Linked DNA regions of Diceros bicornis minor. The protein of the gene in region 1 interacts with the protein of each later gene in a pairwise test. Links are inferred from orthologs where the notes say so. Each region holds a gene or a part of one and is shown in the gene's direction. Other genes may lie near its edges. The genes, in order: MAPK1IP1L and SS18L1.

What was found.
Region 2: the proteins of MAPK1IP1L (region 1) and SS18L1 interact in binary tests that used the Homo sapiens proteins (3 or more experiments, as listed by UniProt). The two-hybrid records come from large-scale screens. The link is inferred for Diceros bicornis minor from reciprocal best matches to the Homo sapiens genes MAPK1IP1L and SS18L1.

The regions. Positions count from the first base shown.
Region 1 is NC_080763.1:5,146,272-5,162,460, forward strand, and holds MAPK1IP1L (MAPK-interacting and spindle-stabilizing protein-like), read left to right. Parts: upstream 1-5,082; 5' UTR 5,083-5,197; intron 5,198-6,441; 5' UTR 6,442-6,469; intron 6,470-7,101; exon of another isoform or gene 7,102-7,143; intron 7,144-12,190; 5' UTR 12,191-12,194; coding exon 12,195-12,212; intron 12,213-12,914; coding exon 12,915-13,622; intron 13,623-14,619; coding exon 14,620-14,631; 3' UTR 14,632-15,033; downstream 15,034-16,189.
Region 2 is NC_080758.1:1,938,027-1,954,725, reverse strand, and holds the start of SS18L1 (calcium-responsive transactivator), read left to right. Parts: upstream 1-8,744; 5' UTR 8,745-8,845; coding exon 8,846-8,914; intron 8,915-16,699. Other genes in the region: PSMA7 (proteasome subunit alpha type-7), read right to left, coding at 2,146-2,238, 2,691-2,753, 3,507-3,626, 4,098-4,220, 4,886-5,010, 5,735-5,861, 8,241-8,336. UniProt on the Homo sapiens protein: Transcriptional activator which is required for calcium-dependent dendritic growth and branching in cortical neurons. Recruits CREB-binding protein (CREBBP) to nuclear bodies.

The DNA.
Region 1 (16,189 bases):
TTCTTCTGGTGAACTATCTACCCCTTTGTACAAATTGGCATTTTAAATATCGTAGGAATTGATTTCTTGATGATAGTTTAGCTCTAGTAGGAAGCTGCTTCTACCCAGATTGAAAGAAATTTGACTCAAATTTCCAAGTTAGAACAGATGTTTCTTAAGTGTCATTGCTTTTATGTTGAAGTAACATTTCCCTTTCTGAAGTTCTGCTGTTAACATAAAGATGCCCTTTTTTGTCTCAGTGATCTCAACATTGTCTTGGTTCCAGTGAGGGTTAGCTACTAATATGGCACCTCTCTTAGCAGTGATGAGGCTCAGGATATCATAACACCAATGTCAGGATAAATATCTCTTCTGAAGATGATATTTCCCTTTACAAAAGTAGAAAAGTCTCATACTACCTCATCTTTATTGTGGCGCTTTTGTAGATCACTGAGAAGCTGATCTTATTTACCAATATAACACTTCCTAAATATCCATCTTTGGTGAAAGAAAATTAATAGTATGGTGAGACTCTACCCATGATTATAGTTTTTTATCAGAATTTGATAATGAGACTTTCTGTTTCTGTGAAACAATTACTTTAAATATTTTTCTTTTAAAAATAACTTTTTATCAGTACAGAAAAACCTAAGGGATGACTAGCTAACAAATATTCTGTTAAAGGGTAATTTTATAAAGAAAAATGAAATATAATTATGTTATCTTTTATAATGGTAAAAATTAGTGTTTATATGAAAATCAAGATCTAAGTAGCTTTTCATATATTCAAACTGGTCACTTATGATATATTTTCTCTGGCTTTCTTATTTTTTCAACTTTAAGGTATTAATAGCTATTTACATTTTCAAAATACTGCCATATATATAGCCTTGAAGTGGATGATCTAATAAATGAGAACAGGGAAGAGACTCATTTACTCTGAAATGGTTTGTATTTTTCCTTTGGTATTTGCTACAGTGAAAAGAAATCTGGAAAGTGGAAATATCAAGTCTTGAGAATTATTTACCATGAAGGAAAAAGAAAAGAGTAATAATAAATTAATTTTTTAAAGCATTAAGGGATTGGAATTTAGAAAGGCTAACCCCTTTCTCAGTAAGAGCATCCATTTAGAAACTAACTCATTTAAAAAATGTAGTTATTGGAATATGTAAGTAAAATAAGTAAGTTTTGAGATGAACAATGTGGTAAGATAGAAATATATCTAAATAAAAATTTTGTAACTCTAAGTTGGATGCTGTGAGCATTTGAAAAGTGTAAATTCCAGAGTTGAGAAAGCATTCAACATGGTGGAAATGTGTAGAGCTTACTGGTGAGAGATGATGGGGCTAAAAGAAACAAGATAGAATATTAAAAATTAAGAATTTAGGCATTACCTCAGGGAAAAGCCTTGACAGTGAAAGAGAACTACTTAATCGCTAATAGCTAGTCTGGACTACACACTTAACTGAGCTTTGGGAATCATCCTGCACTAATCAGGAAATAAACTTGACTTTTCTATTTCTCTCTGAAGCTTTTCAGGCCATACCCCTTCCCACCCTTTTTTTTAAGCTACAGCATCTTGATTTATAATTCCTGAAATATGCTGAATGGATTTTTTTTAGGTTCCATGAGCATTTTTATATGAAGAATCATATGTGATCTTTCTATACCCATGCCATTCACTTAAATAATTCATAGAGGGAATGGTTTAATTTAAAGGAAGACCTACTAGGAAGAAGATTAAAGGAAGCTTTTAAAAGTCAGCCTGTGGCTAGATTTATTGATTTGGTGTTCAGACCTGTGTTCTTTTCCTGAATTTCAGCTAATGGCAAACTGTGGTCAAAGAATTGCTTTCAGTTAAAGTTTTGACTTATTATAAATAATATAAAGAATCTCTTAGTAATTAGAAATCCTTTAAAAAGCAGAGCAAATATGGCAAATAGAACTCATATCATTATACAAATTCCATTTCTTTTTATAAGAAAAACACAAACCATTATCATTTATTCATGTGCCAAAGCCATTAAGAACATAAATCAAGTTATCAGCTTCCTGTCTCTCTGAAGTTTGGATCATATTATAGATCCACGTAATAGAGAGCTTCCTTCCTGTGAAACAAAAACCTTGAGACCTAACTTACAAATATACTCAGTTTTCATTAAAAATTTTTTGTCACTTTTAGTTATAATCAATCAGTCAAATAGGTCATATATAGATTTTGGTAGAGCAAATCTCACAGGAGAGTAGGCTTAATTATGAGACATTCCTGGAGACAACACAAGGAAAACAGTGTTTAAATGTAAAAATAGCCTGTGTGTTAGATAATTTAATGTCCAAATGAATAAAATATTTTAAGTCAAGCAGATTATTATTCCTACTTTGGAAAAAAAAATCTTTACAATTTTGGTTTAACATAATCAGTTTTACATTCATTTTTATTTCTAAAGAAGGAACACAAAGCACAGAAGTTTTTTCTTTTCTTTTTTAATGGCCTACGAGAAAGGAGCAGAAATGAGCAACACTACAAGAGTCTGTCTGTACTATTCTAATACATTAAGATATTGGACACAAAATGGATGTAACTTTGAAACTGATTGGCTTCTAAGTAGAAATGTAAACTAATGGATATAACCCAATGGGAAGGGATTTAGGGCACATGAGTCCTATTTCAAATAAAGCCAGGGTCTATTTTTGATTTACTTTTTAATTTTGAATAGATTACTCAATCCTCAATCTTTGCCTTCATTTCCTAGCATATGAAATGTAGGTAATAATACTTGTCACTTAACTTCCTGAAGGATAATTCTTCAGTTAAGAGGTGACCCTTGAAGCATACTTGAAAATAATTTCTGTACAGCTGTTAAGTACTAATGTGATGATAGGTTTTCAAAGCATCTCCTTAGTGGACCCTGCAGATTCACATTCACTCTTTTAGTTTGTAATAGGCTTTCTTGGCTTGATTTGACAATAGAGATAACAGTACAATTTGAATTTATGGTTTAGAGTCTGCAATTAGATGAACAGTTGCAATTTCCTCCTACCCTTAATAAGGTTTATGTAAAATTGATGTTTGCCTAACTTATTTTAAAAGTTAATTACATTTGCAGGAAGTAAAGATAATCGCTTTTGCTGTGGTTATAATCAAATCTAAGCTTTCAGACTTGACAGTGTAAAACTCAAGGAGGTTTACTTAAATTATGCTGACTTTGCTAGAATTGGATAAATTCTGTATAAAGCAAGTATGAATCTGATACATACTTGAATATACAGAGTTTAAGCAGTGACATCACAAAGCTGTTAGAGCTCTCAACAGTCAGGTTTGTATGATCCACCTCTTACCCACAAAGTAGACTTTTTCCATTTTTATTTCTAATCCTGAAGTTGAATGTTTCTTCTCGGATGTGAGTTCAAATAAATTGATCTGAATAAATTTTCATTTCTTCATAATTAAAACTTCATATATAAAATCCAAAGACTTTGTATTTTGTTTTAAAAATGTATAGCCTTAACCTCACACGTTCAATTTAGAATCTGAGAAAGAAAAATTTAAAACTCTATATTTTACATATTTTCTAATGTATAATACACTCCTTTCAGTTTTAGTGTGTCCGTTTGGTTCTTCCAGAGGCAGGTGCCAAGATGTAATTAAATGTGCAAGAGATTTATGGGGAGGGGGGACACCTATGAAGGATAAAGGGGAAGGGAGCAGGAGAAAGTTGGCAAGTCTTCATACCACATTGCATGGCTGACATCTATGAAAGAAATGGAAGGATTGGGTAGGGTGGGCTTTAGGCTGCAGTGCAGTTCTGAAAAAGCTAGGTGGGGATTTAGTTCCCAAGCAAAGGTTACCTGTAGGAGCCCACCTGGGACAGGAAAGGCCTAGCTCTAGAACTCCCACCATGCTCAGTTATCGGCTGGGAGCATGGGAAAAGCTGGAGGCTGTATCACTGATACACCTGACTGGGACTAGGGTGAGGTGAGTGCGGCACTCAACTTGGGCACAAAATTTTTTTGACTGAAAAGCTCAGTAACGAAAAGTAATATTTTGGTGCAACATTTAAAAATCAGAATGCAAAAAAAACTCTACTGAGCAAAATACCAAATTTTAAATAAAGTTAGCACTGTTGTACTGACCTTTCCTGTTGCCACAGGCTTCCTGTAGCTCCACAAGGCACCGCTGATTCAATGCCTCTTATGAGCGCAGGGTAGGTCGTTCACACTGGTGGCATCATTTTCCATAGACCATCGCCCCTATCCAAAAATATGTCTTCCCCAGGCTTAGGTATTTGAAGTTCCTCTATTGCTCATTTTTCGGCATGAGAATTATGTGTGCTGTGGAGCATGCCCAGAGATTACTCTTCATTTAAGTTTATAGTAAAATGTCCACCCACTGATCCACTAACGGCTTGCACACAGAAGCAAAATGTTATAAGAATATTGCATACCTTTAATATATTTTTACATATAAAATATATGTACTATTATATGTATATATTTTTCACACCATACACGTAATTATGACATCTTCATTACTGGCTAGCAGGTTCCTTGACGGCTGGGCCCTGTGACAATCATCTTTCAGACCTAGCAAAGTAGGTGCTTAAAGGTCTATTCAAAAACGAAATGTGGGGAGAAGAGGCACTGATCAGGACAAGTCTGCAAAGACAGCTGTTCCTTTAGTTAATATCAATATGTCAAGCCATTTACAAACGTCTTTCCTTTCCCGTATTGTTTAGCTCTCCCCAATTTTGGCCCAAGGGACCGCGTTCCCCAGTTGGCCCACATCCACACCCAGCCAGCTTCGAGGCCTGCCTGTGAAAACCGCTGAGCTTAGGGAATCCAGAACCTGCCCCTGAGCCACTCCAGGAAACAAGTTAGCAACTTCCCCCAGGCTGCCTAGAGCGCCACCGCCTCAGAACTCCGGAGGACTGGGGAGCTTTCCCTCGCCCACCGTGAGGAAACATTCCCCCGGGCCGAGCGCGCGCAGCAGCCGCAGCGCCGCCAGGGGCCTGCGGGGGGCGCGCGCGGCCCGGCCCCGGGGGGCGGGGCGCGGGGAACGGGCGGGGGCGGCACGCCCGCCGTTTCCTGTTCCGGCGCCAGGAGGAGGCGCGCGCTGCTGGTGCCGCTGCCGTCAGTCAGGCTGCGCCCCGTTCTTCCGCGCCCGGTACTTCGGCCTCTTCGCCGCCTCGAGACCTGCTGCGGGCTCGGATCTTGCCGGGTGAGGCTGCCTCGGCGCTGGCGGGGGTCGTGGAGGGGGTGAGGGAGCGTGCCCGAGCGGGAGGCGGGCGTGGTAACCGAGGTCCTTGAGCCGCCTCTGCGGCGCGGGGCCAAGCGCTTCTCCCCGGTGTCTTCTCCCGGGCCGTGGGCGGCCCCCCGACGGTCCCCCAGGGAGAAGGCGTCGGAGGCGGCGACGTCGCGCCGGGCGGGTCTCTCGGCGCCTGACGTCAGGCCTGGCTGGGGGCGGGGCGGGGAGCGGACACGGCCCCTCCCCCACCCGCCTGGCGGGGCGACCCGCTTGGAGGCCGGTTCGCTCCGGCTGAGCCCGGTCTCCCTTTGTTGCGCTGGCCCCAAAGGGCTGAGGGCCTCGCGGGCCTTGGCCCCGGCCCTTTCCCTGTTTATCAATGTCTAATGGGAAGGGAGGGAGAGGCCTGAACAGATTCTTGGGGGAATCTTCGACCCTTGTTTAACATCATCCGCCATGTGACAACGTTTGCGTCCTTGCTCAAGTTACTAGCAGATACATTCGATGAATACCCGTGACGGAGCCTGGGCGAGTGCGGAGTTCTGTAATATTCTCTGTTGTCGGGTTTAGGAGCGCGTATCATGCATGGTAGCTTATAAATAGCTGAACCGTTTTCCTCTTTGAAAACCCAGAGTAGTGCCTTTAATGGATGAAGATTCTGATGTTGAAGCATACTCAGCTGGCCGTAGAAAAACGTCTTGTTTAGCACTGCTGCTAAAGAAATACACACTCGTACAGCTGGTGGTTGTAAAGGCCGGTTTTGAAAACGAAGTCTCGCTTCGGGCGGAGGTGGCCTTCCGAACTCTTTCAGAAGTCTTTGTTCGGTGGTGTTCCTTGGGCAGGAAGAAGAGAAGTTTTCTTGCTACTGGCGTCTCTGCATCGCCTATTCAAAACTAGTTTGTCTCGGAAACCTAAGTTGCGTATATTGGAGTGTTCTTTTCCTCTCTCCAGGAGGAGCGGAGACCTATCCCTTAACCGAAATTCTTGAGGCCTGTGTGTTTTGGAATTCGGAAATCTTTGGATTTTATCTTTCAATTGTAGAAAGGCAATAAGGTGCATAGATGAGAGGTGACACCCCCAGCAGAGTCAGGCCCCTAATCCAGTATTAACGTTTGTGCAGCCATAGGTGTGAATTAATGAAAACTATAAAGCGCTTCAGGTCAGGTTTTGCCACCAAGTAAGTTTTATACCAAACTTGGGAACGTTTCTTTCGTTTTCAGGTTTCTGAATTGACAACTGCCGATAAAGGTTTGTGGACCTATAACAGCGATTGTAAGAGCTAACATTTGTTGAGTTTTGCTGTGTCAGACAGTGACCAAGAGATTTGTTTATTATGTAAGTCTCAGCGTATCTGTGAGGTGGATTCTATTCCTGTCCACTTACATCTCTGAGGTTTGGAGAGTTCATCTTACCCAGAGCCAGCCGGTGAAGAGCTGCAGTTTACAGCGTTCACTCTTAACCATCTGCAATATGCCCACATAAAAACGAAGACAAGAGAATATCTATGTTGCCCACCCATTATTTTCTAAGCACTGCTATTATAGGCACTTGATTTACGAGTCCCATTTAGTCTGTCATATCACTGGCTTGTTCTTTATAGTTGAAGAAACGGAGGTTCATTGAGGTGAACTGACTGATAGAGACGTTTAAACCTTAGTCTAAAGGCTCTCTGCTAAGACTTGCGTATCCCTCTCCTTTCTATATTCCAGCTAATCTGAACTGCTTAACTTCCTGCAGATTTTGCTTTTGCACAAACTGCTCTCCTTTTCTAGGACCCTCCCAACCATCCCCTGTTCCCAGCTCTTACCCCATTGTTCTCCCAGACTGCTAACCACTGCTCCGGATTCTTCCCCTGATACTCCCTGCCTTGATTCCTTTAGGAGCCTTTGAGGAACTGCCTTAGTGCCCTGTGCTTACCCCAGGTAATGTAGTTACTGTTTTTAAATGGTAGTTCTCTACCAGACTGTAAAGTCCTTAAGCATTTATTCCATGCAATACTATTCATTACCCCAAAACCCAGCACAGTGCCTAGCACATATGTTCCAATAAGTATCTGAATAAGTGTGGGAAATATGGCTGACATGAGGTTGTTGAAAAAATGTGTTCTTTTAATTGTTTTTAAAAATTTTAAATGTTCAGAAGGTTTCAAATCTGCAATTTCTTGAGTTGCCCAGATAGAAGGTATCTGCTAAAAGAGCCAATACTAAAAACTATCATATATTCTAGTTCAAAATTTATATCTTCAGTACAATATATTATCATCCTCCCTCCCTACTAAACAGATCAGTGCAAAACTGATTTCCCCTAGTTTCTCTTAATAAACATCTTACGTGTCTATAGCACTCTATAGATTATTAAATACGTTGCTTTTAATTATCTGTGAAGTAGTCAGGAATTTTTATTTTATAATCGTTTTGCAGATGAAAAAATGGTCTCTGGTTAAGAAACTTGCCATTGTCAAAAGACTCAGTCAAAAGGATTGATGTCTGGGTTTCATAACCATGTAGTCCCATAGTGTGCCATCAGAATTTGCTGGCCCTTTGAAATATTCCTTGTGCAGTAGTCACTAGTAATTTATGAAGTTCATCTTTCTTAAACCTCCCTGTGATTGAATTATCATTTTTATTCCAAAGGCCATAGGCATTATCAAAATGTTGTTTTACTTTTCTAGTGTATGTCAAAAGAAATTTTGTGCTCTGTTTTAAAATTACTATTCTTACTGCTCAGAAAATACAATGATTATTTTTCAGATGATGTGTAGATCCTGCCATAAAGTGATACTGGAAAGTTTTAGAAGTAATATCTTTAGATTATTCCAAAAAGAAAAAACAAAAACCTTTCTTGATTATAAACCTTTTTGTGTGTGTTTGTGGCTAATTTCGGATTACACTGAGCTCATCTTAATAACTAGCATACTTCAGATGTTTTGGAATAGCCTTTTAGAAAATCTAGATATTTTTATATTCTGTAGTTTTTATCATATTGAAACACTAATGTCAAAATCTATTTTTTACCTTTTTATGATGAAAGTATCCCCCTAAAGTAAATTGGAATGTTTTCAGTGAACATGAACACTGTTTATTCTAGGCATGAGGATTAGGTCACTTTGCTACGCAGTGCTGGAGAACAGGGAGTGACTATTTCTAATCCCTTTGGTCAGGGCTTCATTATTTTAATCATAATATTCTCGGGCCGGCCCCGTGGCGTAGCGGTTAAGTGCTCGCGCTCCGCTGCTGGCGGCCTGGGTTCGGATCCCTGATGTGCACCGACACACCGCTTCTCTTGCCATGCTGAGGCCTCGTCCCACATACAGCAACTAGAAGGATGTGCAGCTATGACATAACAATTATCTATTGGGGCTTTGAGGGGAAAATAAATAAATAAAATCTTTAAAAATCTTTATAATCATAATATTCTAGTAATTCCTCTGTTTGCCAGAATTGATTTGGAAAGCCAGAGTTGTAAATCGGTTTAATATTATTAACTTGTGGAATAATTTATATTTTAATGTTGTTCTATGACTAGTTAACTGTATATTATGTATATATGTTTTTCAAAAACTAAGAAAAGAATAATTCTGAAAACCTGAACAGCAAGACCATATGAAATTGAATGGGTTGATTTGTTAGGTTCTCTGCTCCATAATTAATGTGAACTTTGATACAGAACCATTTTCTGTTTCAGAAAGGCTCACCCTCTTTGAAAAGCATGTCTTATGTAGACTTTAAACTTGTGCACTGATAAGGTTTCTTCAGGTGTTAGTCCTAAGAATTGACTGTTTTGTGATGTGATGTTTTAATATAAAACAAACCTTAACATGGGAATGAATGGGTAATTGTATTTGCTGTATATTTAAATGTTTTTTGATATTCTGAATGAAAAACAAGGATATAGCAGTTGTGACTTAGTGGTCTTCATGTTCTTTTTCTCCATCCTTCCTCGTGATAACCAAATCATACTTAAAAATAAAACTCCAGGAATGCAAGGATGGCTCAATGTTAAGCAATCTATTCATTTAATTAACTGTGTGAATGCATAAGGGAGAAAAACTAAGATCATCTCATTAGATGCCAAAGATCATCTGAGGAAATTCATTGTCTTCTCTTTTTTTTTAATAATTTTATTTATTTTTTTTTTTTTCCACCAAAGCCCCAGTAGATAGTTGTATGTCATAGCTGCACATTCTTCTAGTTGCTATATGTGGGACGCGGCCTCAGCATGGCCAGAGAAGCGGTGCGTCGGTGTGTGCCCGGGATCCGAACCCGGGCCGCCAGCAGCGGAGTGTGCGCACTTAACTGCTAAGCCACGGGGCTGGCCCTGACTTTTTTTTTTAACTAGCAAAATAAGAACAAATAAATCTAGCAACATAGACATGAATAGAAACTTCCTTAATGTAATTTTTTAAAATCTCAAATTAAAAATGAGAATTGTAGGGCCAGCCCAGTGGCATAGTGGTTAAGTTCACACAGTCCGCTTTGGTGGCCCAGGGTTTGCAGGTTCGGATCCCGGGCATGGACCTACGCACCACTCGTCAAGCCATGCTGTGGCGGCATCCTGTATACGAAATGGAGGAAGATGGGCACAGATGTTAGCTCAGGGCTGATCTTCCTCAGCGAAAAGAGGAAGGTTGGCAATGGATGTTAGCTCATGGCCAAGCTTCCTCACACATACACTCATACACACACACACACACACACACACACACACACACACACACACACACGAGAGAGAATCGTACTTAAACATTAGATGCATTCCCGGGAGACTTGGGAACAAGACTGCTGTGCTCACTATCACTATTTAACATTTCATTGTTAAGTCCTAGTTGATGCAAAAGAGAAAAGAGATGTAAATACTGGGAAGAGAAGGTATTATTATTTTTTGCAAATACCAAAAAATACCTGGAAATCCCAAAGAATCAACTGATAAGCTTTTAGGAATAAAATAATTCAGTAATGTTGCTGCTTACAAAAGTAATACAATGAAAGGAAAGAGCCAGTTTACAACCACAAGAAAAAGTTTATTAGTTAGAAATCTATCTCACAAGAAATGTGTAGGAGACCTGATTTTTCAAAACTTCTGAGTGATACTGAATGACGGCACTAGGAAGACATACCTTGTTCTTGAATGAGAAGATTTAACATTTTAAATCTATCAGATGGCCCCTAAATTTATCTGTAAATTTAATACAATTCCAACCAGAACACCAACAGATTTTTTTTTTAATTTTTTTACAAAATCATCTGGAAAAGGTGTATGTGAGAGTGTTTGGGAAAATCTGAAAAAAGAAAAGTAGTAGTAGGGCAACTGATGTTAAAATATTAAAAATATAAAACCACCATAATTAAAATGGAATTTTATGGCACAGATAAGTAGAAAAGAATAGAGTCCACAATACCTGTGGGAAATGATGGAGGTTCTATAGCCTGGCTCTAATTAAGAGCCTCAGCTCTGGGCTCAGACTGTGCCTGGGTTTGAACCCCTTTTCTATTTGTCACTAGGTCTGTAACCTTAAACAAGTTAACTTGCTAAGCTTCCTTTTCTCCAGCTGTAAATGGAGGGTGGTAATAGCAAGTTAAACCGTGAAAATACTATAAGAAAGCGTAGGTGAGTTTTTTTTTTAACCTTGGATTAGACAAGGCCTTTGTAAAACAAGCCATATGTGGTTCAGAAAGATTGATAAATTTGACTACACGAAATTAAAAACTTTTGTAGTGCCAAAAAATACCATTTAAAAGATTTAAAAATAAAAGGAACTTGGGATAAAATTTTTTGTCTCATATGTAACAGACAGAACAGAGCTAATTTGCGTACTGTCTTACAAAGCATTAAAAAAAGTACTACTAAGTAGTACAATGATCAATGACAAAAAGTTACATACTGTCTTCTTCTAGTTGTATGAAGTCAAAGAATAAGCAAAAACTAGAAAGTGATTGTTGGGGGAGGTTGATTAAAAAGGAGCATGAATAAACCTTCTGGAGTGAGGTTAATGTTCTATATCTTGGGTAGTTAAGAGAGGCTTAGACAGTTAGAGCTTGTTGACCTGAATACTTCAAGGTCCATGCATTTTATTGAGTGTTAATTATACTTCAGTTTAAAAAATTGGTAAAAGTGGTCCAGGGACATGAGCAAATTCACAGAAAAAGAAGTACCAATGGGATATTAAATTAAAAAGATGGTCTACTTTCTCCTTAAAGTCAAAAGTTGAAACAAGTAAAGAAGTTAAAACAAGATGCTAGTTTTTAATCTATCATAATTGAAAATGATTTATAAATTCATAATAGCAAGTGATAGAAGAGGAACTAGAAGGAAAAGCAGACAGTGTAAATAGGCAAGGGACTTTAAAATTGGCATGGACTTTTGAGATGGATTTTAGATAACCTTCCCTGTTCACTGTAAATTTTGTTTCTAGTATTTTCCTGGTGATGGATTCACAAGTGAGCAAAGATATGTGTTCAGACATGTTTACTGTATCATTGTTTCAAACAACCCAAAATGCAAACAAACCTAACCTGCCACCAAAATGAGAGTGTAAGCTAAATTATGGATCACTTTTGTATGTAAAAAGGGATGAAGTTAATAGAGCTGTATGAACTATTATGGAAATTTTTTCTATATAAAGAAAAACACTCTGTATGAATGATTAAGATTCCATTTAAGTAAAAGTAATGTATGCATAGAAAGTTCCTAAAAGAATATATAAGAGGGGCCAGCCCCGTTGCGCAGTGGTTAGGTTTGCATGCCCCGCTTTGGTGGCCCAGTGTTTGCCGGTTTGGATCCTGGGCCCGGACCTACGCAGCAACGCTCATCAAGCCATGCTGAGGCCGTGTCCCACCTAGAGCAACTAGAAGGATGTACAACTATGACATACAGCTATCTGCTGTGGCTTTGGGGACCAGTCTTCCTCAAAAAAAGAATATATAAGAAATGGTAAACAATGGTTTTGAAATATTCCTTCTTTCTTTTTAGGAAAATGTCTGATGAATTTTCGGTAAGTTGATGCATTTATCCTTTGTAAGTTTTTTGGCTCTTAGGAGAATATAGTCCTAACTGTGGACCATAAGTCTTTTAATTTAAAAGAGGTGCTGCTTGTGATTCTTGGATTGAGGAGGGAGGGGGATGTGATTGTGATAGGTGATTTGCCTTAATTTACTTAGATAAAACATGTTTGAAAACACTTCTTTAGTATTTATTTCTTATGAATCCGTAAGTAAAAAATTTAAAAAGTATTTCTTCTGTTGTTCTCTTTTAACCTGATATTAATAATAGCCACCGTTTATTGAAAATTATATACCAGGCACTGTGTTAAGTGTATCAAGTGAATTATCTCATTTAAGCCTCAAGTTAACCCTAAACTGTTTTTTGAAAATGAGAAAGCTAAAGCTTGGAGAGGGTATGTAACTTGTTTGAGGTAAAGCCAAGTATTCAGATCCACAATATGTTGATTAGTTGTATTGAGAAAACATGAACTTCTCTGAGGAATGTGCATTGTAAAGTTGATAATTCGAAGTAACCCCTGAAGTTTTGTATTAAATGAATTGTTTTTAAACTGAAGAGCTCGGCTTTTGAAGATGTTACAGAGGTTTGTAATCCTTGACCCAGTAGCTTACTATCTTTTATGAGTTTATAATCACGTTTGGCATGACTTGTCCCTGAATAAGATTGGTAAAGACATGCTTGTTTTGTATTCCAGTTGGCAGATGCACTACCTGAACACTCCCCTGCCAAAAACTCTGCTGTGAGCAATACAAAACCTGGCCAACCTCCTCAAAGCTGGCCAGGTTCCAACCCTTGGAGTAACCCAAGTGCTCCACCTTCTGTGCCATCTGGACTCCCATCAAGTGCGACACCCTCCACTGTGCCTTTTGGACCAGCACCAACAGGAATGTATCCCTCTGTGCCTCCCACTGGACCACCTCCAGGACCCCCAGCACCATTTCCTCCATCTGGACCGTCATGCCCCCCACCTGGTGGTCCTTATCCAGCCCCAACTGTACCAGGCCCAGGCCCCACAGGGCCATATCCTACACCAAATATCCCCTTTCCAGAGCTTCCAAGACCATATGGTGCACCCACAGATCCAGCTGCCACTGGTCATTTAGGTCCATGGGGATCCATGTCTTCTGGACCTTGGGCACCAGGAATGGGAGGGCAGTATCCTACCCCTAATATGCCATATCCATCTCCAGGGCCATATCCCACTCCTCCTCTTCCCCAGGCACCAGGGGCAGCACCACCTGTTCCATGGGGCACTGTTCCACCGGGAGCCTGGGGACCACCAGCACCATATCCTGCCCCTGCAGGATCATATCCCACACCAGGACTCTATCCCACTCCCAATAATCCTTTTCAAGTGCCTTCAGGACCTTCTGGTGCTCCACCAATGCCTGGTGGCCCCCAGGTGAGTGTTTAATTTGTTATTTAACATGCACTAATAATCACATAAGCACACCTGAAAGATTATTTGTCTCCAGTCTTGGATGGAAGATTGGAAAGCTTTTAAAACTTTAAGAGAAGGTGTGTGTGTATATCAAGAGTAAATTTCACACTTCAGGTAAAACATTTAAAAGGATGAAAACACAAGTATTCCCAGTACTAAAAATGGAAAGAAAAATTTCCCCCAAATCCCCAAAGACCTTGTAATGTAGCAGTGTCCTCAACAGCATCCTTGAGGTAAACTCAGAGATAACATTTAATTGGACTTAACTTTTTTTTAACATTTCTCAGTAATGTTTTTTAGCATCACACGAAAGCACAGTTCAATAAGAGCAATCCCTGCCTGTCTGGCTGGATATTGAGGTAGACTTTGAGAGAATCCAGAGCAGTGAATATGTAACATTGCCCATCTTGCATGCAAAACTGAGTGTTTCTCAGCCGAAGTTTTTTAGATCCTTAGCAGCATTGAGCTCAAGGTTCTACCACTGTTATGCATTGTGTAATGCTTTATACTTTGCTGTCCGCCAAGCTGGAGTAGAGCTGACGTCTTAGTTAAGGCCTTCTTGGACATATGACCAAATTGAAAAGCACTCTGCTTCCCCCATGAAGTAAGCCAAGTGAGTGTCCAAATGCAGAGTCAAGATTCTCCTTGAAGGGGGAACAATCTGTTTACTCTTAACAAAATAACTAATCAGCTCTCCAACTAGGTTAATCAAACATCCACCCCAACTGTAAAGGAAGAAAATCTTAATAAAGTGCCCCCAAAGCTTCCTTTCATTAGTGTAACTTCTTGCTATATATATTCTCTTAAAAATTTATTTTTTTAAATTGTATGCCAAAATGAGTGAGATGACTTGCTGTTTGGATTTATGATGCAATAAGTTTATTTTAAGCCACAGAAAGGAGTTAATAAACTCCATTTACAAAACCTAGAAGTTTACTTTTTCTTTTTTCTATTGCAGTCTTACCATTAAGGTTAACAATGGATGAAGAGATGACGCTTTGCTTTTTGAAGTACATATATATGCACATGCATGCATATATAAAAATTGCTGTTTCACTATTCTTAGAGGGCATTCATGAATGAACAACTCTTGCACCTCTCAGAGAAGATATCTGCCTCTTGTACTTGGATGTATCAGATGGATACAATCAAAAATGTAAATCATTCAAATGTGATTTTTATTCAGTTTTTATGGAGAGTTGAAGTGATTATGTTGAATAGCTCTTTGATAGAATTTGTTTAAATTATGAAACTACACACTTAAAAACTAAGATGCTGTGGATTATTGTTAGAATCTGCAATCTCATTGGCACATTATTTCAAGTATTTTTCTATAATCACTTTTTCCCCTGAATAAACACTTTGAAAACAATCACATTGTCATAATTTAAACAAATGATAGCTTCTCAATATCTTGAGCTAAAATGATAGCTTCTCAATATCTTGAGCTAACCTTTAGGATAAATAAACCTGGTCCTTTTGAGGTTATTTTTTGGGTATACGTTTTAAAACTGCCAGTAATTATTGTTGAGTTAGTTAGGCGGTGTTCATTTTTATCCTCAAGCTTTTAGTAAAGACTTTTCCTTCATTTTGAGTTCCACCTGATTTATTTTTAGCCAGATGGGTCATACAACTCTAAAATCTGCCTTTTGTGGAAACTTTTTTCTTTTTAATGCAGGCCAACATGTATGTAAATTATGTTCTTAGAGAATTGGTGATCTCTTGGTATTGCTTTAGAATAGGTTATGAGATGTCCATAGTGCTTTGGGAAGAGCTCAAGGAAGGAAATAATTCTCTCCTTAGTCTTGAACCTCAAACTAGAGGAAACCCTGGGAATTGCTTCATAGTGACAAGTAATTTGCATTCACACGAAACACTCTTCCTCCCTGTAGCCCCCCCTCCCTTAGTTCTTTCAAAGGAGCACATCCCTTAATTCCTGCCCGATATGGAAGACTGATACACTCTTGGGGTCTGTTGTAAACACATACAGCAGTTGTGTTTAGAGAACCTTAGTCACACAGACATGACTTCTCTTTGTACAAGTGCGATCAGAATATGTATTTGTCTTTCAGAGTCTGGTTAGACTGTCATTGTCTCTTGCATAGTTTACTGATTTCTGTTTGTAAAGTGCTTATGGCTCACAGTTCAGTTCTGTATTTGCTGACAGGAAATAGGTAGAATTGAGTGCCATCCTTAAAAATTATCCTCAGCTCTAACACTGAAAATAATGATAATAAAGTGTAGATCCCTGTAATTGAGTTTAAAGCAGTATGACTGTTACTTAAATAAGTGTTGCTTGTAACCACCAAAATAGCCCAAGTAGCTTTTTGGCATCTTATCTTGAAATCAGATTTTTAGATTTGGAATAGAATTGACCATGTTAGTTGTCAAATAACATTTTGAAACTTTGAATGTATCCATTGAGTTACAAAAATGTATTGTGAATTTCTTGATCAGCATAGGAGAGATTTATGGTGAAGCTCTTGTTTTTGCGTAGAAATAAGATATTTAGTAGTTTATTTCTCTTA
Region 2 (16,699 bases), on another chromosome or scaffold:
TTGGAACATGGCAATGGGGCTGCTCTGTTGGAGTAAGGTAAATTGTAATTATAAATAAACATGCAAACCTTTAAGACTTTTTTCTCTGCTCTGGAAGTAAATAGTCCTGTTGATTCTCCTGCCCAAATCACATCACATCTAACATGCCCATCTGAAGGCAGGGGCTGGTAGGATTTGGGGGAACATCTGGTGCTCTTGAGCGAGACTGACCCAGTTGGTCTGGGTAAAGGGCAGTGAGCCAGGCCTGAGTTTACTGTGGGCCACCCTCCTGGGATGAGTGGCACCGCTCTCCAGACACTTTGGACACAAACTAGTTTTAAAAACTCAGTTCACAGGTAAACCTGCTTAAGAAGTGGCCCCCTTTGCTGCCTTACTGCAGCCTCCAAGTTCCCCAGAACTTCCATGTTCTCAGTCCCTTAGACCGTCACAGGGCTGGATCCCTGGACCGTGCGGGAAAGCAAAGACCTGGCTGCTCTCAGACTTGAAGTGTCCCATTTCACTGTAATGGATGTCCGGGTGACTTTTTTTTTTTGTCAGGAAGACTGGCCTGTTAGTGAGCTAACATCTGTTGCCAATCTTCTTTTTGCTTGAGGAAGATTGTCCTTGAGCTAACATCTGTCCAGTCTTTCTCTATTTTATATGTGGGACACCACCACAGCATGGCTTGACGAGCAGTGTGTAGGTCTGCGCCTGATATCCGAACCCGCCAACCCCAGGCCACCGAAGCACAGCACATGAACTTAACCACTACGCCACTGGGCCAGCCCCTCTGGTGACTTTTTAAAAGCAATCTCAGAGGATAAGGTCCCTCCAGTCAGCTGTGTCCCTCTCCCTTCAGTACCTGCCTGATTAGTCAGGCCCAGAGCATGACTGGGCAGCAGGCAGTCGGCCTGTATTGCTGAGCCCAGCCGTCAGTTTCAGAACCTGAACAAATTCCTGGCAACCTTTCATTTTTTGGCAACCAACGTCCTTGACCAATAAAAAATACAAGTCTTCCATAGTGTACATACTAGATGCAGGTAGCCAGGGCACTAATTCTAAACTAGTTAGGTGGCTCAGCAAACAGGTATTTCTTGGCTAGAGAATCTAGTCAGGTCATAGTCTACCACCTGTGACTAACCTTGCTCTTAACACTGACAACCATTTTGACAATTATGCATTTTATGCTGAGCTTAACGTATCTGGGCCTCTTTACTCCTTTTTAGAGGAAAAATGTCTATGTGCCATTAGATGAGAACCCCAAGCAAGAGAAGCTGTGGATTGAGGTCGAAAGCAGAGCCCCAGAGTCCTAACAGCAGTTGGCAGGGGCGGCCAGCCTGAGGACCCAAAAACCCTGGTATTCTTGGGGTGCAGGGAGCCAAAAGGCAATTCCATCACAAGGACTGGTACCAGGGCCTCATGGGAGGCTGCAAAGCTGTGCAGGTGAAGGAGGTGGTGAGGATTTTTCTGTAAAGACAAACCTTAGGACCATGACTTAAACTTCTGCTGGCCTGGAAGCTAAAAGAGCAGTCTTTCCGGCTAAAATGCAAGAGGGTGGGGAGTAGCCAGTGCCATAAGTCTTAAGATAGAAAATATGTAACATGCTAAGTGTTGATCTAAATCCAGGAATACAATATAATTTGAACACAGCTGCTGTTCTGTAGAGTTCTGAGTTCAAGACTTAAACTGAGTGCTGTTTGTGCTTGTGTCCTTGACATTCGAGGATTTGAGTGGAGGTCTGTGAAGAAACCGAAAGTCAGTCCATCTGTTTAGAACCCTTCAAGGAGAGACACTGAGTTGATGCACCCATCTGCAGTGCCTGTCTGCAGCCGTGCACAGCACCTGTTGCACTTTGCATGCTGCTTGGACTCCTGAAAGCCCTCCCACAAACCCCAAGGGAGGACCCACTCACTTAGAGCCTGGCACCAAGGAACGGAACGGAAAGCTCACACTCGAGAGTGCTCAGAAACCAGAAGTTAGGGAAGTTTTCTAAAGAGCTATCATAATTACACCCAAAAGACACACACACTCTAAAAAAAGGTTAAAAAATATGGAAGTTTACTGTAGGACACTTGGACAGTATGGATAAATGGAATGGAAATGCCTACATGTCATTCTGAAAATCATCCATGATTTGAATTAAAAACCAGTATAAGATTTCATTCATCATGATGCTTTCTTTTGTTTCTTTTTTTCGTTTTCTTCTTTTTCTTTTTCAATTTCAGCAACGTATTTCTCAATTTCTTCAGGATTTAAAATCTACCAAAGAAAAAGAATTTATGGTTAGCCCCCAAGCCACACAAGGTGCCCCAGAGCACCAGTGCCCCCTTGGACTCTGGCCAAACTACACCTCACAGCTGCCACTACAGGAAAACAAGGCCCTGTGTGCCTGATCCAGCCAACAACAGTCAGAGCCTATTAAAAAGCAGATTATCAAATCATCATTTTTTTAGGTGATTATTAAAAAGCAGAAGCAAATCCACAGTTGTTGAGAGCTTTTCAGCATGCCAAGAGCACGCGTGAGTACTATCTTCAACACCGTGGAGACCAACACTGGAATGCTTTCTTTTTGACTCACTGTGGAGAGCCTTGGAAAGAACCTCTTTCCCAGTGCTGAAGCCACAGCAGAAGGGTCTTGAACTTGTACTGCCCCTGCCCTGATCACGGGGAACTCTCCATAAGTAAAGACAGCAAACAAACTTGGTAATTACCTTGAGGGGCTGATCTCGCCTCATGACAGCAAGTTCAATGTTTTTGCCGCCTGACTGAACCACCTTGGAGAGGAGAGAAGAACATCAGACACCTCGCCCACCTCCAGACCAAACAGCTCTGGCAAGCACCTCCAATGATAGTGTGTGCACCTGAACCCAGCACTGCCACATGAGGGAAGAGGGCAGGACACACTGAAGTCCCAGCACCCAAAGCTTTTGTTCTACCAGCACGTCACGTGCAAAGGGTCAGCAACACCTGCGCCCGTCCATCTGCTGGCAGTCGGACTTGGGCTGGGTCACTGGTCCTTCTTGCACAGTAGCTCTGTTCACAACTCGCCCCTCTACATGCAGCCTTTCCCACATCTGAGCTCTGAACCCTGGACCCCAGCCTGGTCCTCCAACTACCCCGCCCTGGCCTCTGTGGCTTCACCTGCCAGCACCTCCACCGTCTTGACAAAACCCAAGTCCTCATGACTCCCAACCATTACTCCCAGTTTCCTTTCCAATCCCCTGACTGCAGCAGCAGCTCGAGCTGCAACAAGGCTGAGTGATGGCTGTGACCTGTGCGCTCCTGGCCAACCACTTAGCCTCTTGCTGCCTCAACTGCCCCAGCCTATAAAGGAGCTAATAAAGTGCCGAACAGTGCCCAGCACTGCTCAGATATCTGAGCAAGCCCTCAGATATCTGGCATTACCGTTGGCACCCTCGCCACCTCCTTGTTGCCCTCTCGTCAGTTGCCCATTCTGCCCAGCCCAAGAACCACCACCCGGTGTGGGTGTCTTCACCATCTTGCCCAGAGATCAAATGCAAACTTACTTCCAGGAGGGCCTTGATAACCAGCTTAATGGTCAGATCGTCTGTTTCGATGGCTTCGTCAGTATAATTCTTCTCTAGAAATTCACGCACTGACTTGGCACCCCGCCCTATGGCATTGGCCTGAAACAGAAAGGTGTATTACATGATGCAGGGCATGACAATCCAGAGCCAGCCCCAAAACAGGGCCACCCCTGTGGGCCAGCCGGCCACTGCCCTGCCTGCTCTCCCATGTGCTGTGGTGAGAGGCAGTCTGGAGGGAGCTGGGTCTGGGCCCCAGGCCCTGCCCTATGGCTTCCTTTCACAAAGGGCTATTGGGAGTTGGTGCTGGTTCTTACCAGGGATGGGATCTACTTCTGTTTCGTTACTGAAAGGCACACAGGCAGTTTTCCTTTAGGCCACGTATCCTTACACCCCACTGTGCTTTGACTTTCTCCGGAACGGCAACATTTAATGACTTCTTTGCTCCCACACCAGCAGGGGTTGTCGTGGAACAAACAGGTGGTGTGTGCGTGCACACACATTTGAAGGACTAGGCCCAGTTCCTCCCAATGGCCTCCAAACCCTGAAGCCCCTGTTTTGTCAGAGACTCACCTTCCAGGCATGGTATGTGCCTGAGGGATCAGTCTGATAGAGTCTGGGGGTGCCATCAAAGTCAAAACCCACAATGAGGGCAGAGATGCCAAACGGCCTGCGCCCATTGCTCTGCGTGTAGCGCTGGCGGGAAAAGGAACACGTTAACACCGTCTTCATAGCACGAAAGGCCCCACAGAACCCACCCTAAGTAACGTGTGACATTCCGAGCTCTGCTTTGAGTGGAGAGATGAAAAGAAACTACTAAGTACACTTCCAGATTATTTGCAATTCAAATGATAAATGAAATCAGCCAATAGTTTTCAGCATTCCCCCTTTCTTTTCCGCATTTTCACTCTTAGAAAAAGACACTCCTATGACCAGAATCACATCATGGAGCACAACTGAGACTCTGGAATTATTTTGATGACAGACACGCATTGTGGCTACACAGTTAGGTTTAAGGACGACTAGCATTTCACCAGAGGGGGAGTGTTTTTCAGCCCCCTCCCAGCTGCTTGGTGACCCGTCATTCAGAACGGCAAGATAAAAACTATCGTTGCCCTCCAGCAATAGGAATTTGGACTGCACCTAAATGAGAACAGAACCATGCCGCTGAAATGGACAAGCTTTAGTAAATTACACCTGTACAAGGACAGATACAACTGCGCGTGGAACAAGTGCAGTTTTCTGATTCCCCTAAAGTGACACATGCAACCATCCATGTGCAACACCAAGGGAGGACACCTTCCATGACAAAGCAGCAACTGCTCCTAGCCAGAACTGGTCATGGGCAAGTGGGCACCCACCTGCTTCAGACTGGCGATGTAGCGAGTGATGTACTCCACAGTGACCGGGTCCTCCACGGTCAGCCGATGGCTCTGGCACTCCACCCGGGCCCTGTTGATGACTATCCGTGCATCAGCGGTGAGGCCTGCAACGATGGCAGAGAGGATCCCACCTGAGCCACACCTCGTCTACTCCAAGCAAGGACAGCACAGATCACAAGAGTGGACAGCGCTAACCTTTGGCAAAGATTCCAAAACCAGTTCTGTGAAACCAACACTGAGGTCATTCTGAGTGATGACAGTGGAATGATTGGCCTCTGTGAGCTTCTCTGAGAAAGTTGGGTGTACAAAGAATTGTGCCTGTCAGAGCATATTTAAACACACTAATCCTTTGACAAGGCAAGTCAACCTCTAGTTTAGGTGAACGCGGATCTTCCTGAACTGGACCTGCTTGAGGGAGGCAATGAGTGAAATGACCCAAGTGCCAAGAACACACTGCAGGCCCTGACAACAGGGCACTGTCCGGCTCTCTCCACTTCACAGGTGCGGTTAGCTGTGGAGAGCCTGACCTTTCTCTAGACTGTAACTCCGATCCAGCATCGGGCTGATAGCAGCAGTGGAGGCAACAGCACAGCCCCCTCGTCCTGGGGGTGTTTATTCATTTAGCCCCTGTGCTTCAGCCACCTGAGAAGGAAAGCTCCCTGCCCCCCACCATGGCCAAACGTTTTCTTAAAGGCCCAAATCGATGCTTTTAAATGATTTTAGTTTAGCCAGTTTACATGTCTCCCAATAGCCCACCCTTCAGGCTAACCTCCAAAGCGCAGGTCTTCGCTGAGCCTCCGAGGAACAGAGCACCAGCCCCCGACTCACCCGCGAATGCCATGCAGACGTTGTCGTCCAGAGCGCAGATCTTCCGCACGGTTCTTTCATCCTGCAGTTTGGCCACTGACTTCTTCTCCACGCCAAGAACAACAATGTCTTTTCCTCGAACGCCAACCTTCAATAAAAATCAACACAGCACTTAACAAAGTGACATGAGATTCTGCCACTCCACACAGAGCATTAAGAGCAGATGTGAATATCCCAGGGGTAGCAGCCCACGCACACCCCTCCCCCACTCCCTGGACCACTGCTTTGGGCACCACACCCTGCAGACCATGGGTATTGATCTGCTTCTGGCAGAGCTAGCCCAGGTATCATGACCTACATGCCTAGTCCTGTGGCTTAAAATACTGTTATGTAGTTTCAGTTACAATACAACTAATAAGTACTGTAATAATAAGTGTGTATAAGCACATGTATCAATTCAACCCAGTAAATGAAAGACTCCAACAAAAGGTGCCTTTAAGCCTGAGATCCTAACATTCAAGTCAGGTGTTTTGAAAGCAGTGTTTCTGCAGTTGTGAAATTACACTAAAAGCTGCCCCACCCTCTCCTGCACTATTGCACACCAGTGTGCACAGCTGTGGAGAAGGCCTGATTTGCTGTCAGGTGGACAACTGTATCAAGCATTACAGGTGTCAACTGCTCTCTGTTTATGGCAGATACTGTAAAGGGGAGAAGGATGTATTCAAAACAGGGAAAAAGCACTGGCAGCCAGTAAACCAGCCAGTGAAGGCAGGAGCAGACACAAATGGGACAATCACTTGGAAAAGCAACATCCCCTCTTTGTTTAGAGCAGGGTTTCTCCGCCTCAGCACTGTGGCCATTTGGGCCGGTGAATTCTTTGATTAGAATCAAAGGACTGTCCAAGCACTGCAGGATGTTTACCATCATCCCTGGCCTCTATCCCTAGGTGCCAGTAGTACCTCTCCACCATCTTGGACAAGGAAAAATGTCTCCACACGTTGCCAAATGCAGAATCACCCGTGGTTGGAAAGCGCTGGTCTGCAGTGTTTCAGATTTCAAGGAGCTTTCTCGTGTATCTTCAAAATTCCCCCGGGGCCGAAAAGAAGGCCAGGCCCAGAGATGCTAGGTGGGTTAAGCAAAGCTAGCCACCTGGGCTGGCCCAAGGTAGTACTGGGGATGGGAATGCGGGGGTGAGCTGTCAACTCTTCCAGTGCTCTTTTAGCTGAGTTAGGTCACAAGATGGATTTTGGGCCTTAATTTCAAAAGAGATTTGGGAAATGAGAAACACTTCGAAATTCACAGAACCCCATGTCTTTCTCTCTGCCTGCTCACATCTCTGAAATACCAGACGATAAAAATTAAAACTATCCTACAGTTTGACCAATAAGCAAACTGACAAGTGTCTCAAAGGCACCACGAATTTAAATTTCAAACAGTGGTCAACATGAGAGGTACAAGCTCAGGTGAAGGGGATGATGGGACAGCACACTGCCCAACGGAGGAGGGATCAGAGCAGTGAGAGCCTGCTAGCAGCCGGGAGCCGCCCCGGGAACTGCGGGCGGACTCTGAGAATCTGCCACCCTTTGTTCCAGAAGCCCACCTGGACCTCCCGACACCTGCTCTCCCTAGTGGGGGAAGTCCCCTGGCGGGGAGCTGTCTGGATGCAGTTCACCGAAGTCACGTGCTTCCTTAAAGAACATCCACAGAGCCAGTAACAGCCAGTCCTGCTGCCCGGTGCGGCCCCTGCACCTCTGCTCGCCTGAGGTGCATCAGCGCAGCCACACCGAGCTCCCCGAGGGCCGGTGCAAAGGTACCCCGCCAAGATGGCCGTCACCCCAGGCGCTCACATGCTCTGGAGACACCAGAGAGAAAGGAAACTGGCTCTTTGAAATGTACTGCGGACACTGAACTCGCTGGTCTCCAAGGCACCCGTCTAAAGTGACCGGCAAACATGGACCACACTGGCCCCTACGTGAAAATCAGCGTGATGAGAGCAATGTGGTGCGACATCACGGTTCCCAAACGTGCCCCTTTTCTGCTTCCTTTAGTAACACCAACGTTACGACTTCCCTGTGTTCAACTAACGCCCCTGTGGTAATTCCGAAAGGCCAATCCAAGCGAAGCCTCCCTGCGACCCCGAGAAGGCCCTCTGCGCGGCCACTCGGGGGAAGCTCTTCGAAAGACGCACCCGGGCCCCGCCCGGCCGGTAACGTGGGTCCTCGGTCCGGAGACGCCGCCGCCGCCGCCGCCCGCCGGGACCGAGGCGGCGCGCGAAGCCCCCCAACACCCTACTCTGTCCACGAGCGCTCTGGCCGTCTCCCCGCCTCCTCCCCCTCACCGCGGCCGACCTCCCGGCCCGCGCCCCCAACACGCCGGGGCCTCCCCCGCTCCCCCCGGCCCGCTCCGGCGTCCCCCCGCGTGCCGCGGCCTCCCCGCGAGCTGAGCCCCCGCCCGCCCCGCGTCCCTCGGCCCGGCGCGCTTCCGCCGCCCCCGCCCGGGCGCGCAGGCCCGGCGGCCGGCCGCTCACCGCGGTCGAGCCCTTCTTCACGGCCTCCTGCGCGTACTCCACTTGGAAGAGGTGGCCGTCGGGCGAGAAGACGGTGATGGCGCGGTCGTAGCTCATGCCGGCGGAGCGGAGCGGCGCGGGGCAGTCGGCCCGGGAAAAGCGCACACTCACGGCCGGCGCGGCCCGCGATTCACGACGCCGCTGCGCCCGCGCCGCGCGCGCCCGCCCGCCCCCGGCGCCGCCAACTGCGCCGCTGGCGTAAGGCGGTGACCCGCGCGTCAGGCGGCGTCGGGCGGACGTGCGCGCGCCGGGGCGGGGCCGGGCCGAACCACCGGCGGCCGGGCGCGGGGGGAAGGTGCGGCGGCGGCGGGCCGGACACGCAGCGCGGGGCGGCGGCTCAGGGGCGCCGCGCGGGGCTGGGGCTTGGGGGCGGGGGTCGCCCGGGGCTGCGGAGCTGCGGGCCCGGGGGCGGCGCGGCGGCGGCGGGGCGGACGAGCCCACGGCGCGGCGCCCCCCGCGCCCCCCCCCCCGCCCCCCAGCGACTGCGGAGAATGAGCACCTCGGGCCGCCGAGCGCAGCCGGAGAAGAAACCCTGATGATCTCGGGCTGAGCCTGTGTCCGCGACGATGTCGGTGGCGTTTGCGTCTGCTCGGCCGAGAGGCAAAGGGGAGGTCACACAGCAAACCATCCAGAAGGTGGGCTGGGGGCCGGGGGCCGCGGGCCGGGGGCACGCGGAGTGCGGGCGGGCGCGCGGGGCCGGGGCACAGGCAGCCGGCGGGCGCGGAGCGCGAACAAAGCCGGGGCGCAGCCGACGACCGCGACCCCGACGAGGCCCCGCGCGCGCTCCGCGGCCGGCCTGCGCCAACTTGGTCGGGGGCGCGCGGGGCCACGGGCAGGGGCGCAGGGCGGCGGGGCCAGTCGCCCGCGGGGTGATGTCCGAGCGGTGGTGTCCGCCGGGTGGTGCCCCCCCAGGTGGTGTCCTCGGAATGGTATCCGAGGGGCCAAGTGGAGAATAATCCCGGGCCGCGCCCGGCGCAGTGGGGACCCGCCGCCTTCCAGGCCAGGGCGCAGGGCGGCGGGATTGGGTGCCCGCGGGGTGACGTCCGCGGAGACCCGCCTGGCTGGCGAAGGCTGTGGCGCAGCCCGGCGGGCGGCCCCTGGCCCCTGCGTGCAGCTTGGCAAGTGAAGGGGGCGCGGGGCGACGGGGACCTGGCTCAGCAGCCGGCTACGCCCTTCGCCTTACTAAGATGCTGGCACTCCAAGGCACCAAGGGGGGCGTCCCGAGTGTGGGACGCCGTTTTCTCAGCCCTGCAGCCCTTTAAGGAGCGCGCAACACCTCGGGGTTGACCTGCTGGCCAATCTTCCAGGCCCTTATTCGCGTGTGAAATTGTTTTTCAGCGTGACACTGGGCCGGACACCTCCTCACCTAACCAAGTGTGCAGATTCTCTTTACAGCTTTTCCCCGAGTTTTGTAAGTTTGGTCTTGGGGTTTTTTAGAGATAACTTTTATATGGGTTTGGGGACACCTTTAACAAAAGCCTTAAGTTTTGAAATTGAGATTTTAAATTTTCTGCTGTTTCTTTTTAGAAGACAAGTTCAGAAGAAGATCCGTGTTAGCCATTCCCGTTTCAGTTTTCTCAGCGTGCTTGATAGCTGCATTGATTTCTTTTCTAATCTCTGGATTTCTGAGGTCAACAGCAGTGTGTCCTGTTCCCCTGAGCCTCTTATTTCCCCAAGGGCATTCACCTTGAGGATTGCGGCCTCTTCATGACACGCGTTGTCCTCAGCCTCTCGTCTGTTTCGAGACCACCTTTGCTGTGGCTGGTTTTGACACATGAGGTGCCTCAGGAAACTCTAAACAGGAGAGAGGCGATTTGAGAAGCAGCAGAAATATAGACTTAAAAGTGGGGGTTTTTTTTTGTTGTGTAGTAAACACTTATGTGGTGCTTACTGCATATCAGGCCCTGCACTGAGAGCTTTGCAGATGTTAACTCACTTAATTCCTCGTGGTAGTTACTATCATCTCCATTGTGTAGATAAAGAAACTGCAGCACAGGGAGGCTGAGTGCCTTGCTGGTAAGTGGTGGAGCCGGGAGTTGAACCTGAACGTTGGCTCCGGGGGTCTGCTGTAACTATGACGCTGGATATGGAGACACTGGGCTGGCCGAGGGTCAGGTGCTTGGCTCAGAGGCACGTGTTGGCCGTCCAGGAGTCTCTCAGCACCCTGGCTCTTTGGAGCCTTAGTGTGATAAGCACATTACCGTTCCTGAAACCACCTTTGGCTTCAGCATTTATCCAGTTATTTGCACTGTGCATCCGCCCCCTGCTAAAGCTCCCCAAATTCTCCAGGCAAACGTGTGTCTTAGAGCATTGCCCCCAAACATCCGATCAGAAAGAGGGAAACCTGTGGATGGCATTCCAGGCAGAAAGTCGGCCTGCTGGCCATCGACACAGGCCGGTCTTCAATTAGGCTATCACCTGGTTTGACCTGGTGGGGCCAGCAATCTGTGGACTTGCCTTAGTGTTCTCATGCTGAATATATGTACCCAGGGCTCTTTTACTGGCAGTCTGAGAAGGGCGTGAGCAGCGCGTGGGCTGTGTCCACAGCGTGTGCTCGTGCTCAGAGCATTGAGAAAAGCGAAGGGTTTCTCAGAAGCCTGCTTGGTAGTGCAAGAGCAGTAAGTATACTCCTTGTCCTTAGAGTATATCTGGGTAGGAATTTGTCAGGCAAACTCCTACTCAGCCTTCAAGGCTCCGCTCAGATGTGCCCTCCTTCATGCTCCCTCGGTGGTCATGTGGTGAGTGTAGCACCTTGGCACACAGCTTGGGCTCCCAAGTTTGCGGGTCACCGATTTATTCTTTGTTGTGTCCCCAGCCTGGCACAGTTAGTGCCCAGTACACACTGGGGCATCTGGGACGCCGGGTCTGTGAGTGGCAGTGCTTGGGATAGGCAGATGTATTCATTTCCTGGGGCTGTCATAACAGACTACCACAAACTGCGTGGTTTAAAACAGCAGAAATTTATTTTCTAAGAGTTCTGGAGCCCAGAAGTCCAAAATCAAGGTGTCACCAGGATTGGATGCTTTCTGGGTCTCTGAGGGAGGGTGGTTCCATGCTTTTCTCTGAGCTTCTGGTGGTTGCTGGCCATCTTTGGTGTCCTTGGCTTTTACACGTATCACCCCAATCCCTGCCTCTGTCTTCACCTGGCTTCCCCTCTGTGTATGTCTCTGTGTGCAGTTCCCCTCTCGCCGTAAGGACGCCAGTCGTAGGGTGCAGGGCCCACCCTGACCCTGTGTGACTGCATCTTGACTTGATCACGTTTGCAGAGACCCTATTTCCAAGTGCGGTGACGTCTACAGGTGTTGGGAGTTAGGACTTGAGCATATCATTTTGAGGGACACAACTCAACCTGTAACAGAGGATGTGTGGGGGAGTGGTACTCCAGACAAGGAGAACCAAGGAACAGAGCTAGGAAGGGTCTGGAAGATCGAGGGAGTCGCAGGTGGTCCCATGCATGGCCTGCATAGAAGGGTCTGGAAGATTGAGGGGGTCCAGGTGGTCCGGCCCGTGGTCTGCGTGGAGCAGGAAGGGGGCCAAACCTGGGAGGACAGGGAGAGCCGGCCTGCGCTGGAAGCCTGGGCTATGTGCCGGGGTGGTTGACCCTGGGGTGGCTGAGCACAGTTTTAGTGTGGGGTGAGACGCTTGCAGAACTGCACTTTGGTGAGAACCACAGGGGACACGACTTTGCCGAGGACTCTCCTCTCAGGTGGAGAGGGGCAGTGTCCCAGCAAACTTCAGTGGCCCTCGTGCCTGGCTAGCTGGCCCGCAGGCTGGGACCTGCCCTGTGCTGCCGTCCCCTGGTTTGGGACCAGCGAATCCCCACTGTCCAGCTCTGGTGGGGTGGGGTTGCAGCCATCTCCATGGACCGCGAGGCTGCGCTTGGGCACGTTAGAGGGGCCCCTGAGCATCGGCCTTGCTGCTTGGCACACAGTAGTTGCTTAATAAATGTAAGTACTATTGTTACTGTTTGTGTTGGTGTTCTTAGTTTGTTTCCTTGGCTGGAGGGTGGGAATGGCATCTATTCCTTCTGTACCTTGTGCAGCAGAGACAAGGTCGGTGGGGACAGGACAGAGCTGATAGGCAAGGGGACATCTGGGTCTAGTTTAGGAAAGTGAGACCAGAGAGGGCGGGTGCTGTGCGGGGGTCTGAGAGCCAGGGACCAAAGGGGGACCAGCCCTGCCCCAGTGTCCTCCATGCCCAGGGGCTGGGGGGCAGGGGCACGGGTAAGGGCTGGCCATCTGGGTCGGGGGTAGGTGCCCTGTGCTCTCTCACACCTGGAACTCCTTGTCTTAAAGAACATGGGCTAATTTGATAAGGAAAGTAAATTGGCCATTTTTAAAGTTAAAGCTGTCCCCGTGACTACAGATGGCTTGGGCACTCCTAGCCTCCCATTAACTTGGCTGATTGATCCTTTTAGGCAGTTGTTACTGAACGCGCTTTCTGCCCAGTGAGCAGAGGCCCCCGGGAACGATCCTCGGATGGGAGGGGCAGTGTCCCCTCGCTCAGGTTCTTGGGGCCAGCCCTGGGGAGGGGTGAGGGCAGGGCGCCGTGGAGGCGCAGGAGAAGCTGGGACCGGGGCTGCTGCATGCTGGCCAGCTCTTAGTTGGCTTCTTTGTCAACTTCTGTGTCTTAACGTGCTGCCTGCTGAGGGTGCTGCTCTGCAAGGCACTTGAGCACGCTTGGACCTGAGCACTGCAGAGGCTCTGACTCCAGCCCCCTCGGGTGGGGAGGCATGGCGTCTAGCCATGCCCAAGCCTCTGTCCCCTCTGCCGAGGAAAACCTGGCAAAGGCTCTCCTGCTGGGTGCTCCTACAAAGAAGGTGTGCTCCCTGCCTGTTGCTCAGGCCCTCAGGAGCCCTTTGGGAGCCCCTCAGGCCTGGAGGACCAGGGAGCGTCTGGATAAAGTGCAGTGCCCACCCCACCTCCCTCTCACTCCTTTCCCTCCTAAAGCAGTCACCTGCCTTGTCCAGTGGCTGCCTCATCCACAGGCTGCGCCTGTCTTCTATGTGGTAGCTGTGTGCACAGTGTGGAGGCAGAGGGAGAGGGACAGCAGCTGGGTCTTGCCGTGTGACACTCACACGTGTCCCTGTTAGCTCTCTCATTGTGGCTCCAGCCCTCTGCCCCCAGCTTGTTCCCTGGGCCAGTGGTTTGGGGCCTGGGCACCTGCTCCTGTGTGCTTGTGGTCAGAAGGCCGCTTCCCTGGGATCCCCTGGCTGCGCGTGAAGAACTATCATGCCCAGCCCCACAGAGGCAGGAGTGAGGGGGGCCTGGTGGTGATGTCGCCAAGTCCTGCAGGACCTGGGAAGAGGTTGGGTCAGTCTTGACTGTCTGATCCACAGCGTGCACCTCAACTGCTTACCCTGCCGTGTGAACGGGACAGGAGTCGAGAGGAAGAAGGTGCTAGATGTCTGTGCAGAGGGGGCTCCTGTGACGAGGCCTCATTCCGCTTGGCCAGCACGTGATTCCTGTGCAGAATGCCCGTCGCCATGGGCTCCTTATGTTTCTCTTCAGTTGGAGACCGCTGTGGGGGAGTGGCCTGGGGGCAAGGATGGGGATGGACTCCGTGGAGCTAGGGGGGTTTCCTGGGCTCATATTCTTATTCTGGTGGAAAGCCAGGCTCAGCCTTCTGCACCTCAGCTTCCTTGTTTTAAACGAGGATGCTGTGTGAGCCCCTCACAGGCCGTGCCTCTAGTTAGAGACATCACCTGGCTCAGGAGCGTGCTCGGCCTGGTGACCGATCGTCTTCAGCCTTTGGGTCAGACGTTTAACCAGCATTTATCAGCGGCCTTCCGAAAGGGAGGCGAGGGTTCCATCCAGATGGCAGGAAACTATCGCCAAGTCCAGAAAAGGGACCTGCGGGGTGAGACGTGTCTGGATGTGCCGCGTTCCATGCATCGCGCCCCTCCCCCTTCAGCATGGGGGCTCTCGCAGAAGCAGAGTGGTTTTGCTGTGCTGTGTTCACACGTTTATGAGCATCCCCAACACTGAAGACAGGAAGTGACTCCCGCGCGGCCTAAGGAAGATGAAAGTATGTTCGCTGTTGCAGTGACGTTAAGATGTTTTCCAGGGTCCTGAGAGTCTGGAAATTGGACGTGTGTATCACACACAGAGGTAGGACCAGGAGCAGAGCCAGCTCTTCCCAAGGACACTGCATGTGTGTAAGGTTTGGGTTTTTTTGAAACTCACCTAATTCACATACTCTGCAGTTGGGTAAATGTTCAGGGGGTCCCGTTGGCTTCCATCAGCAGAGTTTGTAGCGCCGCTTGCCGAGCTCTGATGTTGCCCAGTGGTGGCAGCTGCCATGTGCTGGGGGATAGAGCCCTGATCATTAGCAACGTCTGCCCTGAGGTCGGCAGTGGGAAGAGGGGGCACAAGTGCCAGGGTGGCTCAGCCACCTGGTGATGCTTAACTAGCTGTCCAGTTAGCCAGAGCTCGTCCCTCTCACACCTCAGGCGGCTCCTAGGAATATACCTCACATGTCCATCCACCCCGTGTGTGGGGGCGTGCATCGCGGCACTCTTTGTAGCGGTGGAAGATGGGAGACCAACTGAATACCATGTGGAATGCCCTGGAGCTTAGGAAACAACGGGGTGGGATCTTCACGCACTGAGACAGGACAGTCTCCAAGACACCAGAGAGGAAAGGGCGCGATGTAGACCAGCGGGAAGGGATTGTTTCCATGTGTTCACACAGTGAGGGGGCACACGTCCAGAAGGAGCGGGGGTTGGTTAGCCCTGGTGGCCTTGGGTGGGCGCACGTGGCCCACCTTTCACTTGGGGCTGCCTGAACTTCGGCATGCCCGTGAACCTCTTCCCATTTAACCAGAAAGCAGCAAATCTTTGTTGATTAAAAGAACAGCCACAGGGACATTGTGAGGGATTTTTCTGCCCATTGTGGGGTGACCTGAGCCCTCCCCAGTAGTGAGCCTCGGAGCTCCCAGGCCTCTCTGTGCCCCTCCTTCCAGGGCCGCACACAGGTTGTCGTGGGGGGCTGCTCCCTCCGTAAAGATCCTCAACCAGCTTTCCCTGCTGGCGCCAGCCCCTGTCCCCCACTCTCTTTGTGGGCTCTGGGACCCCCAGCCCCTTCCCTTTCCCGGTCTCTGTCATCCTTACCCACCCAGTCAGGACTGCCCATGTGGCCTCAGCAGTTCCAGGCCTGTCCCGTGCCAGCCCTGCCTCCTGGCTCGTGTGTTCTCTCTGCTGGCCATGTCCGTGGGAAGCAGTGCCCTGGCCCTCCCAGCCTGTTGCCCTTCAGTTCCCTTACCGCCAAGCCCAAGTCTTTGTAAAGCCTGCGTGGTGGCTTGTTACAGAGACAGAGACCATGGAGTGACATCTCTCGCTTCTGCACCCCTTGAGCCTGCTCCCATGTGGACGCTGGCCTTGGCCCCATGAACCTCTGACCCCCGGGACATCAGCCAGCGTGACAGCAGAGGCTTGATAAGCACTTGTGCTCTGGGGCTGCCCTCTCAGAGCCCTGAGAGCACCAGGATGACCACATGGAGAAGGAGGCACACGCATCCCAGCTGTCCCATGAGGCCAGCCACCAGGTGACCCTGTGATGATCCCATGTGAGACCAGCCGCAGACCTGCACAGACAGCCTGGGGTCATGAGAACTAAGAAATGGTTGTTTTAACAACAGTGCGCGGGTTTCGTTTTGCAGCAGTGGGTAGTAGGTGTGCCCATGTGTGTGGTGACCTTGGTCCCATCAGCCTCTGCACTCAGCCCAAGCTGCGATTGAGAAAGTCACCCTCACTCCGCTGGGCACAGGATTCCCATCCCCAGCCACCCCACTGTCCCCTGCTCTGACACTCCACAACCTCATCTCCAGCTCGTGGAATTTGTCTCCACTCCTGGACGTGCCCTGCTCCGCCACACCTTTGCACACACCGTGCCCCCCAACTGGGCTGTCCTTTCTCCCGTCTTCACCTGTGTGCCCCTGGTCACCTTTACAGCTCTGGCTCAGATGTCATCTCCAGGTGCCTCCCAGGGCCCCCGCTGCCAAGATCACACGCTGCTGCCATGTGGCACCAAGCAGATGTGTGCCCATGTCAGTCTCCGCCCAAATCTGGCCAGCTGCCGCCACTCCACTATGAGCAAGAGCGCGGTCTCACCTCCTCCCTGTCATGCTCACCAAGGCCTCGGACGGGCCTTCAGAGTGGGGATCTCACCACCGCTCGCCAGGGCGGCCCTCAGTGCTGGCCTCTGGCTCCCCCAGGTGGTGTTGCCAACTTCGCACTTCTCTGCCCACAATGCCCTCCCCATGTGGCCATGGGCCACACCTGACACGTGGGTTTCAACCCGCACGCTGCATCAGTCTCAAACTCCTTTTTCCGTGGCATTGCCTGCACAGCTCACTTCTGAACCTGTAGAAAATCAGCCTTCCCAAGAGAGCAAAGTGCGAGGGGCGTGCCTCCTGATGCA